Drosophila melanogaster: one gene and its partner. The protein of the gene in region 2 interacts with the protein of the main gene of each other region in a pairwise test. Each region holds a gene or a part of one and is shown on either strand. Other genes may lie near its edges.

What was found. Proteins that work in one complex are often made in the same cells at the same time.
Region 1: the proteins of CG14556 (region 2) and CG15124 interact in a two-hybrid assay, tested with the Drosophila melanogaster proteins (one large-scale study listed by BioGRID).

What each region holds. Positions count from the first base shown.
Region 1 is NT_033778.4:19,641,344-19,646,837, forward strand, and holds CG15124 (uncharacterized protein), read left to right. Parts: upstream 1-1,603; 5' UTR 1,604-1,694; coding exon 1,695-2,270; 3' UTR 2,271-2,355; downstream 2,356-5,494. Other genes in the region: CG15905 (uncharacterized protein), read right to left, coding at 5,246-5,321, 5,410-5,494.
Region 2 is NT_033777.3:26,121,436-26,130,358, forward strand, and holds CG14556 (uncharacterized protein), read left to right. Parts: upstream 1-5,223; 5' UTR 5,224-5,291; coding exon 5,292-6,296; 3' UTR 6,297-6,433; downstream 6,434-8,923. Other genes in the region: Cipc (clock interacting protein circadian), read left to right, coding at 3,039-3,222, 7,569-8,179.

The DNA of each region.
Region 1 (5,494 bases), on a different chromosome or scaffold from region 2:
TTTAAATTCTATTTTAAGTTCTGTTCAAGCGCGTCAGGAAGCAAACGTAAGGAAATGGTTGACCGTGAATGGTGGACACGTTTCCCACTAATATGGCTGGAAAGCTTAAGGCTTCCTTTTATATATATGATACATATTATTTAAAATATAACCATAGATTTTATAAAATATTATAAATATTTTATTAACACTCATAATATAAATTGCTTAGTTTTGTTTACTCGCCACACTCATTGATGTAACAAAAATGACAAGTAATTTTGAAGTCATTTCATTTTTCATTTGCTTGGGATTAACATTTTTCTTAAAGGACTTTGAGCGTGCATAAAAAATTATCTTTAGCACCATAAAGAACTATATTCACTGCAATTTAAAATGAAAATAAATCTGATCGGGTTAAATGAAAATCGACTCCAAAAGAAAAAATCCTATTTCATCAAGGAATATTCTCTTATTTTTTCTTTTGAATAAAGTTTCCTTTTCCATTTGACTCTTCACCGTCGTTCAGTCAGGGCTTTTTTTCCCCAGGCTACGTGTTTAAAAATATAATCGTATTGAATATTTAAATGCTCGCCAGGGCAAAAGTCGCCAAATACGCTGGCAAAACTGGACGGGAATCAAAATCAAATGCAATGCCTGCGGCTTCGGCGAATGCTGGCTGCCTGTCAGCCTGGCACAAAATTAGATTTAAATATTTTGGCATTTCCCATCAATTTTCATATAATGCAACCCCATCCTTTTCGCTGGGATGCAGGTCCTGTTGCATGGAGGAATGCTGATAGTGAGTGGGATTCGTCTGTGGCAAGTCATTCCAGCCCTACACAAGCGCACACATCGATGTGGATTGAAAGACAGGCGCACACAACCACACATGCTCAATCATTTATGCAGCAATCAGTGCTGACGTCTTTTCCACACGTACGATTACCGGCATAGAGAATCGAGCCCTACTCTCGGTTATGTGGAGCATATTGGGAATCGAAATTGAGTGCGGGTTAACAATGAGGCAGTTGAGATTGCGGCAGCTTCTCTCGAACTTCTGTTGCTCGTGAGTTTCTTGAATTTAAATCAATGGCCCGGGCATCCACTGCGTATGAGTAATATTATACAAGGATGAACAGGTAATTTAATTTAGCTTTTCGGAACAATTTTTTGTTCACAGAATGCAATCAAAACATGTATGAGATAATATACATTTAAACAATCGTTGTCGAATTATTTATTTTATCATGATCCCTACTTTTTTATAAATTGACAATCATTTAAGTAAACAATCCTTTCAGCAAAACAGAAATAACTCCTTTTTCAAGGTGCAACCGTGAAGGACGACTGCACAAAAACTCTATTGGATTATTTGAAGGTTGAAATCAAATTAAGTCAAGTGAATAAATTGACTTTTAGTGCATATAAAAATCGCAAAAAGCGCAAATAAAAATGAAATAAAATTGCGATGGATAAAAAGTTTAAAAGTGAATCCATAGAAATTCATCGTTTGCTGATGACGAAACATGAAAAAAGGAAACTTAAAATTGGTTATATATACGAAATTAACAAGGGAAATTAAACGATCACATAGCAAAGCATTTTTTTGGAAAGTAGTCATTGCATATATTGCTTTCTGAGAAACTTCGTATAAATTTAAATTATTAAAATAAACCGCTAGAAAAATAAGTTAAAATTTGATATCAATTAGAATGGATAACGACAATATGCTCGACTTTACAGACTTAATCAGCTGCAAGGACTTACCGAACATAACTCTGCACAATATCCGTCCCATTTACAGTATAAAGGTTTTCATGTCCGAACCTAAAAACTCCAATGTCTCTATTGCTGAATTAATCAAACGCCAGGAAGTGTCTGCAGAGCAATGTCGCAAGGCACTTAAAGTCATAAAGGACAGACTTCTTCTGAAAATGGCAGCGTTGCAAGAGCTTAAGAAGTATCTGCTGGATTTGCATTCGGAGATCAAAAAGCCCGGTGCAGGGACTCGTTTTGTGACCAATCAGGAGAAAGTTAAATTGCATTTCCTAGACGAGACGGAAATCAGAGAAGTCGAATTGTCTGACGCCGTAGAACGTTGCAATATAAAGCTGAGCTCGCTTTATTGCGAAATCCTGGCTTTGGACAGCGACATGGGCAGTGTCGCCTATTTGGAGAGGGTCGCCCAGATCAACAAAGACTTTATCATGGATTGGCATAAGACTCAGAGGCAGAATAAGACAAGCAACATCCATTGTTCCGGCCAAGGCGTCAAAAAGACTTTTTAATTTGGACTGTTTTAAACTTTACATGTTTCACTCATATGCAATTATTATCGCACTATTCTGGAAAATAAATATTTATCGCGAAAGCAAATACAAAATGTTTTATTACACCTCTCCGAGATTGAATAGTTGAATTTCCAGCAATGAAATTAGCCTTAAGTAATGTGCTCCTCTCTTAAATCCTATCCCTAGGAATCTTTTTTCCCCCTCGACTTTTCCTGCTTCGTGTCCTTCCGTTTCCCTTTTCTCCGTTTACCTGTCACTGACAGCCCGCTGGCCGCTTCATCTTCATTCCCCGTCCATGAATAATCCCTGCGACACTTGCGTTTCATGGCTTTGCATAGTTAGGACCTGTTAAAGGAGGGACCTGGTCCTGGACAGTGTGCTCAGGCATCTCCTCTCTTAGCCAGCGCTTAGCTGGACCTGGGGAGTTGAATCTGTAGCTGCACAGCAAAAAAAATTTTAAAGGTTTCAAAAAGATCTCAAAAAAATGTCCCAAGAGTTTTAAACTCTATATAGAATAGTCTTGAGTTACGTGTCCCGTTCAGGTAGTATTTTTAATACCATTTGCTGGCAAGTTACTAATATTTTCTCTGAGTGTTCAGTTAGCTGGGAACCGGAGCAGGAAGCCAACAACAGGTTGCGTGCCAATGCAGTTTTTCATCGTGAAATGTCGGCGCTGATAGCGATTGTAATTATTATGCTGAACTGCGGGTATGTATGTATGTATGCAAGGGGATTCGCTTTTACGAGAGGCAGAATGGTTCTATTTCAGGTCCTGGCCACTCTTACTTGTTTCCCATTCTTTTTCCGTCTTGTTGCTATCCACTCTCCGACGCATAAACACCGCTAGTTATGCAATAAATAAAATGCAATTGTTGCGTCACAAAAGCTACATAGATGGCAGTGCGTTGGTCAGAAGGGGGGATTGGCTTTTTGGCTCTGGGCTTTTGCCGCCATGTTTGCGAACAACAGCAAGATGGCGCCCCGCATCCGTTATAGCCGAACATCCAATTCCGCGCTCACTTTCGCTGCCTCAGTTGCTGGGCGTCTGCTTCACTTCCGGTTGGAAAAGTTGTTGCATTGTGTGCGTTTTCGTGGAGGTTCCACATCCGCTTTACCAGCTCTCCCAGCTACTCTAGCTTACTTGGCACCGCTTTAATTTGACAAACCATCGCATTTAACGGCCCGGCGTAGTTTATGCTCCTCGAACAGGCAGCGACATCAAGGCGAAAGGTCAAGGAGGTGGCATAAATAATGCAGCGAACAACGAAAACGACAAAGTTGCCAAAGACTTGGACTAACCGGCTGCTGTTGCTGCTGTTTCTGGCCAAAACTCACTTGGCCAGCATAGAAATTGCAGTTTACAGTTGCTAATTGAGTGTGCCTAGTCTGTGCAGGTGGCCTAATGTTGGTAATTAGTGTGAGCCAACTTTGCCAAAAAGATTCCGGCACAAAGTTGCCCAGGATGGGCTTTTGTCAATTGCATAAGTTGCCGTCGTGTCCGGAAAATCTATGTATGAGATTGGATAACAATGAATTATATTTAGCAAACGAATTTCAATTAAAAAAAACACCTTAATTGAGAATGATTCCAGTCTTAGTATAATTTGCTAGGTGGTAAAGGCACCGCTTGAATTTAAGTTACATATTGACTATATTATTATTTTACTCACCCTGATTAGCGTTAAACACCAAAGTGGTTCACATTTTAGCACACTATTATCCTTAGCAATATGATTTAGTGCTTTGTGGAATCTGCTGAATATACATGGAATGACTTTCAGGTGGAGCACATTAAAGCCCATACAGTGATATGCACTCTTGGCTAACTGAAATAGCATGTATAGGCCTTGCTGTGCATTCGGTTTAAACTCGATTAAAGCCACGCACAACGACATCGGAATAATGCAATTGTTTCGGGTATATAGCTGACCAGTTTATGGGCAATCCGAGAGATTTCGAGCGTCTGCAGGCAGGACCAAGCGATCCAGGACACGTGTGCGTGCTTTGTCTGGCCAGAGAGGACAACGAGGAGAGGTTGCCACATGTGGCAAATTAACTTTAAATTAAGCAATTAATTTAATTAGAGCACGGCGAGTGCACAGTGCGACCCCAAAGATTTGCCGCACACGCAACAGTTGCAATTAAGCAGCCTTCGCACACAGATGTCCCCACACAAATACAGGCGTAGTCACAGTAGTGCACACCCCCACTCACAGATACACATATTAACGTAAAACAATGCCGTTTCAGCTGCAATTGCATTTTAAGCGCATGCGGAAATTACAAACTCAAATTGATAAAGCAAAACCTGTGCACATGTGTGGCCCTGGCATATGGCATATGGCAGTAATAAAAATCTGGTTATATAAGGTGAAAAATTGGCTTACGCCTGGGACTCCAGCATGGCCAAAGAAATCCGAGTGCCAGCACATATGAAATCGGAATGCAATTCATTTCTCCATTAACCAATTAAACGCAATTCATCAACTGACGTTCGCAATTTGCAAAAAAATAAAGAAATAACAAAACTATTAATAAGGGATGTAAAAACTTTTACAATTTTAAATTTCCACTGACAGTCAACATTGAAAGGGTTTTTCAGTCAAACGGAAATTTGTTTTCAATTAAGAGTTGATTTAAATTTAACTGCCTTTTCATGACGAACGCATGAAAAATCAGTTATAAATACCTTCTACGGTAATATGCAGACGTTAAACAAATGTATGCTAAAACTTTTAATTTAAAACACCATAAGCTTCTTAACTTTCCTTTGCTTGCCAAATTCTCAACGAAAATCACAAGTCTTACTTTAATGAATATTCTTGCACTATTAAGTTCAAACAAAAGTGAGTAAACTCTTTAATTTACTGGCTTTCAGTCAATGTATTTCACGCCAATGGCTAAGATCCAATTAGTGGCACTTAAACTCTATGTCTGAGTTAAACTATATGGTAGTTAAAACTGTTAAGTCATCAAGCACTTTCTGCGGCATTTGCGGCTGCCAAAAAAGGAAAATTCATCCCCATCAGCATGCTGTACAGCTTTCTGCTATCGAAGAGAATGAGAGATACGGATAGTAAAAAGTTAGACGATTGGTAAGCGGCTTAGTGGTCATTTTGTATACATTTAGACTTACTAGATCGAGTCGGTGCACTTGCCCTGGGCATCTCGCACCTGATGATTTCGGCAGCGAGCGGGTTTCTTGGTAGCCGGCACCGAAG
Region 2 (8,923 bases):
GGAAAGTTTTATTCGTACATATAGATGAGATTTCTGTTTGCTTGCGGCGTCTTTAAAATGTCCCGCGCGTGTAAAGTTGTGAGATAAGGTCAAAAATGTGCGGAATTCCCCCTTAGAGATTAAAACAATAGAAATACACGTGTGAGTTTGCAATTAGAAAAGAAAGCGAAATTAAATGCAAGGTAACAGCATTACTCAATATTAAGTATACGCCCCGTATGACATATTAGAAATATTATCTACACCTGCGTGCGTTTCTAATCTAAGCTGCCTTGAGCACTTTCCTCGTAAATAAAAGCCGGATCATTTGGGTTATCAATATTCCAAGACCCTCCTGGCTAATGCAGCCATTGGAAGATGATGGAGCTAAACATTTAGTAAAACGAGACCCCAGTGCAACTTAAACCGCTTACGCAGCGAGCACACAAAAGACAACCACATGTATGAGTGCTTATAAGTATTTATGCACAGCAAAAAATTGTCTTTAAGTTTAGAGTTAACGGGCTTTTACTTAAAAGAAAATTTGTTAATTTTGGTACTTAGAGCGGAACATTTTCGTTTACTTTGCCGAAACAAATGAGTTATGGGACGATTTAAATATGTTTTCAGTGTGTACCCATGTGTACTCTAATGTCTGAGAGGGAGTGCTGCGTCCTATGTAAACGAACAATGAGGGCATTGTAGAGCCCGCAGCGTTTAGCGTTACGCATGACAAATAAATTTCAAAATGGCAACGCCTTTGCAGACGGGCGCACACGTTCCTGTAAAAAACATATATATAAAAAAAAAAAACGAGTGCCTTGAACTCTAATTTTATGTCAGTTACGCGTTGACAATACTTGGCTGGCTCATGTGTCTGGGTTGCAGCCGCCGGTCACAACAAAGCCACGACAATTTCCCAAACATAAAGGAACAAAGAGATACCCCTCTAAAAAAAAAAAAAATAAAAGACAAAATCGAATTTCCCTTCCGTTCTGGTGGCGTGTGAAAAGTCATTGGCATAAGCAGATTCCATTGTTTTGTCTTCACTTCTTGCTTTGACAGCTGACAAACTGTGCGTGTGTTTTTTATTTATTTATTTATTTATTTATTTATTTATTTTTGCTTTTGGTTCTCCTGGCGTTTTTTTGTGGCGTGTTATGTTGAACAATTATTGGCTAATTTGTAGGCACGCAGCGGGAAATCTCATCAAAGTTGCTTGATTGACTTGACCTCCAGCTTGCAGGTGGCAGAGCTACAGGTGTCTCTGGTGAAACGTGTCTGAAATTTATGCACAATCTCCCTTTAAGCCTTAAATCTTTTCTATGCTTTAAGCACTGTACATTTTCCTGGCTCATGGCGTTTCCCACAGGAAGAAGTCCTTTTTCCCTGGTACCTCCTTACGATTCTGCCTCCCTGTTTTTCGTTTCAGGCCCGCACGCGCCGCATTAAATTTGCCACTGGGGCAATTCGTTGAGGCTTAGTATTTGTTACGCACATTTTGGTCTTTTGTTACAGGCATTTTCCGGGCTCCGCTTAAGGGACAAATGGGCACCGAGAAAATAAATTTAGCATACCAATCCTGCTTATTAATTTATTTATAATAATATGCATGCGTTTACTAATAACAACTTTTTTATTTAACATAATATATATCTTCAATATAGCAAGAGATAGTTAGATAATAAATTAGAAATGTTATAAAATAACGCGTATCCAAATATTTCGAAGTTTTATATTTCCAGGCGCAAATTTAAGAGATTTAAATTCGGAATGAAATTTCAATTATATTTTAGATTCGACTTTTTCTCTAAGTGGACTGAGCAAACGCCTAGTCGCAGATCAGCCATCTAAGACTTTAACTATCGGATGACGGATAAGGCATAAATAATGAAAAGCAATTTCAGCGCATATTGGCGCATTGACATCGACCTGAATCCGACAGTCAGTGGCGTAGAAGGTGGGCAGGGGAAGGGGGTCTGGATATCGTCTTAGCCGCCCACAAGTATTTTACATTGCGGACAAGGGCAAATGGGCTTGGGGACAGGTTGGTAAAATGCCATCAAGGGCCACAAACATTTCATCATCGTCGCGAGCGCTTTTACCAAATGTAATTACACTCAAGAGATACACGTGCCGCCAACAGCCGCTCGTTTTTGGGGCGTTTTTCAATTTGAATTTGACTGCCGACAGGCGGGGCTCATCTCCACTCATCTCCCGGCACTTGAGCAAATTTGCCTGCCCGCCGAAATGCCCGTCCATCAATATTCCGACCCGTCCTTCCCTGCAAATCCACTTCAAGTGAGTTTGTTTACCTTTGCCGATGGCTGGTCTTTAGTTAGGATTTTGAGCCCACCTAATGAGCTTTAGCTGGCGGGTGCTTCGTCTGAAATTCCGCTTCGATATCCAGACTGCTTCAAAATGTCAACTTGAGAAAGGGAAACGACGTTGACTTGAGCTTTGAACCTTTGTTTGGCTCGAATGATTTATGTAGTTTTAATGTATTAGTGAATCTGATCTGGCTGAAAACAATGAACTGGATTTAGCGAGGATTAAATAAACAATTCATGGTGATTAACAGAAACGCAAGGAAGATGTACAATTTAAAAGATTCATATATCTTCAGCGGATTCTCAGTAAGACGGTGCCTTTTCCTTATCATTTGGAATTCCCTACGCACTCATTGTTAAAATTTAATCATAATGGTGCCAGGCAGTTTTCGGTTCCAGTACTTATCGACCCCGAAGTATAAACGAATTTATGACGACGTCATATCCTGCCTTTGCTCAATAAACACAAGATCTTTTAAGTATCGCACTGCACTGCAGCAGATAATTTTCAGATTGCTCAAAGTTAAACGAACCCAAAGGAATTCGTTTCTCTGCATTCGAATACTCAATTTTAATTTGTTTACTGGTCGGCGCGTGCAGATCGGCAGCTTAATTACGCACTAAAACGTTTTATCAATTAATCAACGCGGCGGCTAATTAATTTGTGCTTCTACTTTCATTTGCTTTCAGTGTGAATACACGCTGCCAAATAAAAGAAGACTCAAGAAGATGGCGCCCACCATATGCTCGGAGAAAAAGCAGCTGCGCGAAACGCGGCGACATCATGGCGTGGCCACAGCCGCCATTTCATCAGCATCCGCAACCGCATCCACCGCATCATCGTCCTCGTCCTTGTCCGTGGGATCCACATCTGCAGCTGCCGCCACACAAGCTAGTTCGGTGCTCAACCATGGTGAGTAAACACTGAGATTACTCAGTAAAATGTAGTAGCGAAAATACAATAGTTCGCGTTAGGTTTAATATTCTTATTTTATTAGTTTCACACGACTGTATTACATTCAAATTTTAATTAATTTAAGCGCAATTAAATCTATCTCTCATTTATAATTTATCATATATAGAAGCTTAAGTCAATTTTGTTCAGTGCCAATAGCTTGCGGTGGGCGCACGCGGCGTATACGTAACATAGCCTTACATATTCATTGCAATATCCGCCTTGTCTCTTATCTGTTTTACTTTATTTTTTTTTTTTGGTATACCCTTTATATTCAGAATCCCCTGCTGATTTGCTGATGTCGTTGGTGTTGTGACTGTTACAAGTCCATTTCCCAGTTGCCAGTTGCCGAGCTGCTCACGTTACTCGGTCATGTTTAATTAATTTATGTAAACTCGGCCACCCACCTCCGTTCTCGGAGGTCTGTCCTCGTTTCCCACTTCCTCATTGCCATATAACCATGCATATGTGTGGCTCGACTAGAGAACTGGAATGCTCAAATGCACGTGCCATGGGCGATGGGCGATGGGCGTTTTGCGATGGGTTCACAATTGGGTTCGCATCGGGTTCTTCACGTGTTGGTCTCCGGTGTTTCATTGATGCTAATACTGCCAATGTTGCTCCATGGAAGGCACGCGAGTTTGGTGTTATGCCACAACAATTTGCGTCAGCAATTGGCTCCAGCTGCTCTTCCGCCGGCATTGGCTGTTGGGTAAGACAGACTCGGCTCGCAAATCTGGCTGACACATTTATATAAGCGATCTAATGCCGCATGACTGCCACCGAAATGGATATGGGCTCAGTGGGATGCAATGGGTATCGAGTAGCAGGCGAGAAGGCAAGACAGTTTATCAAGTATCTAAAAATAGAAATTTTCAGATCAAGTCGATTTAAAATATATGGATTATTATTAAGATTAATTCGAGATTAAACAGACAACAAACCGCGTTCTGGAGATCATTGCTCAAATTTAGAGCAACAATTAGAAAGAAATTTAAAAGATACTTGCAGAGTCTTTAGAATATTTTACACATCCCAGTCAAATGATGCCCACTGATTACTCATTAGCCAAGTGCAATTGCCCGAACATTTTCTTAGATATTTTCCAAGAAATATTTCACAAGCACACGTAGCCAGGGGCGTCGGCCTGCGGGGCTTCCACATAAGTGTGTGTCATAACCTCCAGTGTTGTTATTGCTGCTGTGCCACTTTTGCCGGAGCTTTATTTACATGTTTTGCACATTTACTTCGCTTGCTTTTAGCCAAGTTTGCTATTTTTTTTCTCTTTGCTGCTGGTGCCATTTCCAAAGTGAATTCATTGAAAGCACCACTGTTGTTGCTGCCTTTTTATTTGTGCTCGTTGCTGCCTGCTAATTTGCAGCAACACATAAAAATAAACTGAAAGAAATACACCGACACAAGCCTTAAATAAAAATGGGTGTGACGAGGCCACGTGCAAGCCTCATGACGCTACAAATTCAAAACCCCCCAAACTCGTCAGCCTTCCCTGGGGAGGCGGCGTTCGAAAGGGGCGTGGCAGCCGGAGGGTTGGAATGTTGGCCAATGCCCTCGCCCTCTGCCATCACTGAAGGTATTTAACATTTTATTTCCATTTTAGCATCACCGGTGACTAATTCACAGAGAACGAAGCGAGGCACGTGCAATGGCGCGGCGATGACGAGGCAAGAGAACTCCAGTACTTTTAAAGTGTGTGAATAGAAGTTAGATACAGCCCAATGTTAGATACACACTATCAGTGTGGTTTTAAAATGGGTTAAGTAAATAGTTTGTTCTTAATATTGAAGTATCTTTTAGATAACTTAAATTTCTGTTGAGCAACTGCAATTTTTTATTCCAAGCCCAAGGCGCAAGCGAAAAACTCGATTAGTTTCATTAGTTAGTTTTTTACGAGAAACCCATTTTAATTCAAATGAAGTTACTAACTGTCAACCATAGTAGTAGGAGATTTTTGATTTCACTCGCATGAAAATTAAAGTACAAAACAGGAACAGAGTTCTTTCTTAGTCATGGAACTTGAAAACGTTAAAAGTTTGGGGGAAATTGCTAAATGTGCAAAGATGCCATTAAACGAAATGGATCTCATATCCCGAACTTCGAAATGTGGAAAAAGTGTTTTAGAAATCTTCGACGTCGATGAGAAGGTCAGTTTCTCATATGATGGAGGTGAGGAGGAAGAAATGGATATTCTCGATCGTTCAGAGCAGTCTGATGATCGACCAGTGAAAATGGCACACGATATTGACTGCCTGATTCGACAGATTGAGCTTATGCAAATAGCGATTAGGAAGCGTCAAGTTAAGAAGTGCAGCGAAGAAATTAGCGAAGAAACTGCTGAAATAGAAATAGAAGCCGGTGCTCAAGTAAAGTGCAAACAGCGGAAAAACCAAGGAATCGACATTAAGATTAAGGAAAAGTCTGTAGCCATTTGTCCGAATAACCAACCTTTGTGCGGCAATGAATTGCTGGAAGCCAGGAGTCTTCGTCAGGCCCACAATCGCATTCAATTGCAAATAGACGAACTGATCTGCAGGTATAGGAAACTCCGCGAAATCATCCACCAAATGCGCGAAAGGATTCGCTGCATGGAAGGCAATCTTATAGATTTAAATTCTGAAGCCGTTAAGTATGTAGCTTGGTCCAGCGAAGTTTCCAAGGAACTGAAGTTGTGCCAGGAGCGATACAATTACCTTGTCAATGCCAAGATGTCCAAAGCGGATGCAAAAAAACTAGACCACGCTCACACCACACGATTCCTTAAACAAAATGCAGCTTGCCTTTCCAAAAGTCGTCTAAAGCGCGAAATCGCTGATTTCAATGGCGAGGTCAAGGATCTTGTGAATCTAATGAGTGAATTGCACAAGGAACTGGATCGGAATATGGCTGTTTTCGAATCACGGCATTCGAATTTTCTTGATGATCCAGAAGAGTTTCTATCATCCTTGACTGTGACGGTTAGACTATCCGATGAGTTCCGGAAGTCACAAATGAAACTTGAAGACAGCGCCAATTAGAATTTGATCATTAAAATAGCTTTATTTATTGTTAAGGGAAATATTTCATATTAGCACCATTATTTCGACCAAAAATTACTAATAATAAAAATATATAAATCGGTCTTCGTATTAAAAACAATAAAAATAAATTACGTAAAATGGACGTAAAATGTTTCTGGCGCAGGAAGTCCCTGATGATGTGTTAGCCCGCTTCGCACAATACGTCATCGACTTTCTCTCATTTCCTTTCACCTTTCACGAGGGCGTCATTAGTTGGCTGCTACCTTCACGGAGCCAATCTCACGTTTCGCTGCACTGGGGCAAGGTGTCGTTATCACGTAAGCTCTATTTGGCCAACCTGACAACGACTTCGTTCCAATTTTAGCGATTCCTCGGGTGCAGTGCCATGTGCAGCGTAAACTTCTAGGAGATGCGTCATGACCCTGACCATAGACACAGTCTATTTCCAATCGTTGTGTGCAGGAATTATGCGCTTACATACAGATATGAGGTATACATATTCATTAGAGAATTGTAACTTTATGTGTACATGCTTATTCCAAATGAATTGTGTAGAGCCAGCTAATGAAAATTATAATATATTCTTTGTTCATTACATTTTTTAATTGCAGAAATATTTTTGTTTGTATGACCTACATTTCATTTTCTATATGTAAGGCACATTTAGCTTTATATATTTTTGGTTGTGTTTCATTTTTCGTGACTTTCAACAGCTGATGTTTGCAATGAGCGTTGCGACTGCTAATTGGTGCAAAAAGCGTTGTCGTCGCCGGAACGCTTAACCCTGGTGCTGGTCACGTTTTTTGCCCACACGCGATGACCACATTTACATACCAGATACCCACACAGAGACACATGCACACAGACAATGTTGTAGACATCGACTGATTAGCTAAGCACTTGACCACACAACTGCACCGTGGGCTCGGAAAATCGCTGTGCTTTTAGTTTTTTTTTTTCTAAATCAGGAAACGAGTTTAATTTTAAACTTCATTAAATGGGTTAAAATCATTGTATTTCGCTTACGTGCAACAATTTGTAGACAATGTATAAAAACGAGGTCATGTTATTAAATTGCCTGAGTTCGCTCACGAGCTTTGAGCTGCGAATTACACACTCAAATGATTAATTAATTAAAGTTAATTATTAGCTATATTATTAATTGTTTTACAAAAATTAGACATGATTTTCATTCACTGTACAGCTTTCAAGCTTTTTCTTTGTTCACTACTTAACTAAGTTTCTTTGTTCCTCTTTTTGTGTTTGCAGTGGCCAAAGGTTCGATGAACTCGATGAGCCGCCGTCGACCGGCGCGATTACAGCGCAGGATGCCTCACATCCTTGCCCGCGTGTCCTCCTTCTCCACGGACACGAGCAGCGGCGTGGAAACGGAGGTGGAGATGGACTCCGAGCAGAGGATGCAGCTGGACGACGACCGCTACTCGGATGCCAGGATCCAGGGACTGCAGCAACAGCCACATTCCAGCAGCGACAACATCAAGACAGTATTACAGCCGACGACGGCTAGCGGATATAGTAGCAAGCAGAACCGATCGGCCAGGGCCAAAAACTGTGATCGAGAGGTGCCGCTCCAGATAGAGGACGACCACGATGGCGACAGTGGGTACGAGTACAGCCAGGATCCCATAAAGGAGCAGCACATGTACCACCAGAATAGCGAAGGCCTGTTGTCCATTGCCATCAAGACTATCAAGCTGGTGCAGCGCAACAAGCTGCTGCAAAAGCGATTGGCCCAACTGCAGCTGGAGACCTCGGAGTTCATTGCCTCGGTGCTGGCCAACCCGGAAAATCGCCAATTCCGTGACAAAATGTCGCCAAAGGCAGAGGCCAAGGTCAGCAACATGCTGCTGCGCCACTAAATTGATCTGGAAAAGTCAAAACAGGCCCCATTTCTGGACGTGATAAGAGTTTTATTTGAAAACAAATTTTAAGTCATAGCGAATTGTATTTGATTTTTTATGTATTCGCCCAGAGCATTTGTATTCTGTCGCTTAAAGATTTGACGTATTTATTCGCATTGCTCGGCATGTTGCGGCAACATTTTAGGCAACATCCAAGAAATATTGCCAGCTTCTGGGCTGAGCGTGTAAATTACATGGAAAATATATGTAAAATCCGAATATCATGAATACACGTAATGTATTAAGTTGTAAATGCTTCGCTGCCTATATTTTTGAAATTCCTTGTTACAATTTTTGGCTTTTATATGCGATATGCATAAAAAATTTTTATTAATTTAATACCTTTAATTTATTATTACCATAATCGAATAGATTCCTTTTTTAAACGTATTTTCAAATTTGTCCACAATACATACATTATACACGTCCAGAAATCCAAATTTCAATGGGCTTCGTTTTGAAAAATTCGTACTGATTAAATATACAAACATATTCATCAAGGTTTAATGAAGAAATCGCTATGCTAACATTTACAAAAAAAAAGAAAATATTTATACGAATCCAAAAAGTCCAAAAGTGTATCTGTAGTCGTTAAGAAATTTTATGTTTTACAGTCTCTACACTCAAGAATTAATTTATAATAAATCTATCTAATACATATATCTAGATAACCCCAGCATAATCAATGGAACCCTACTACGC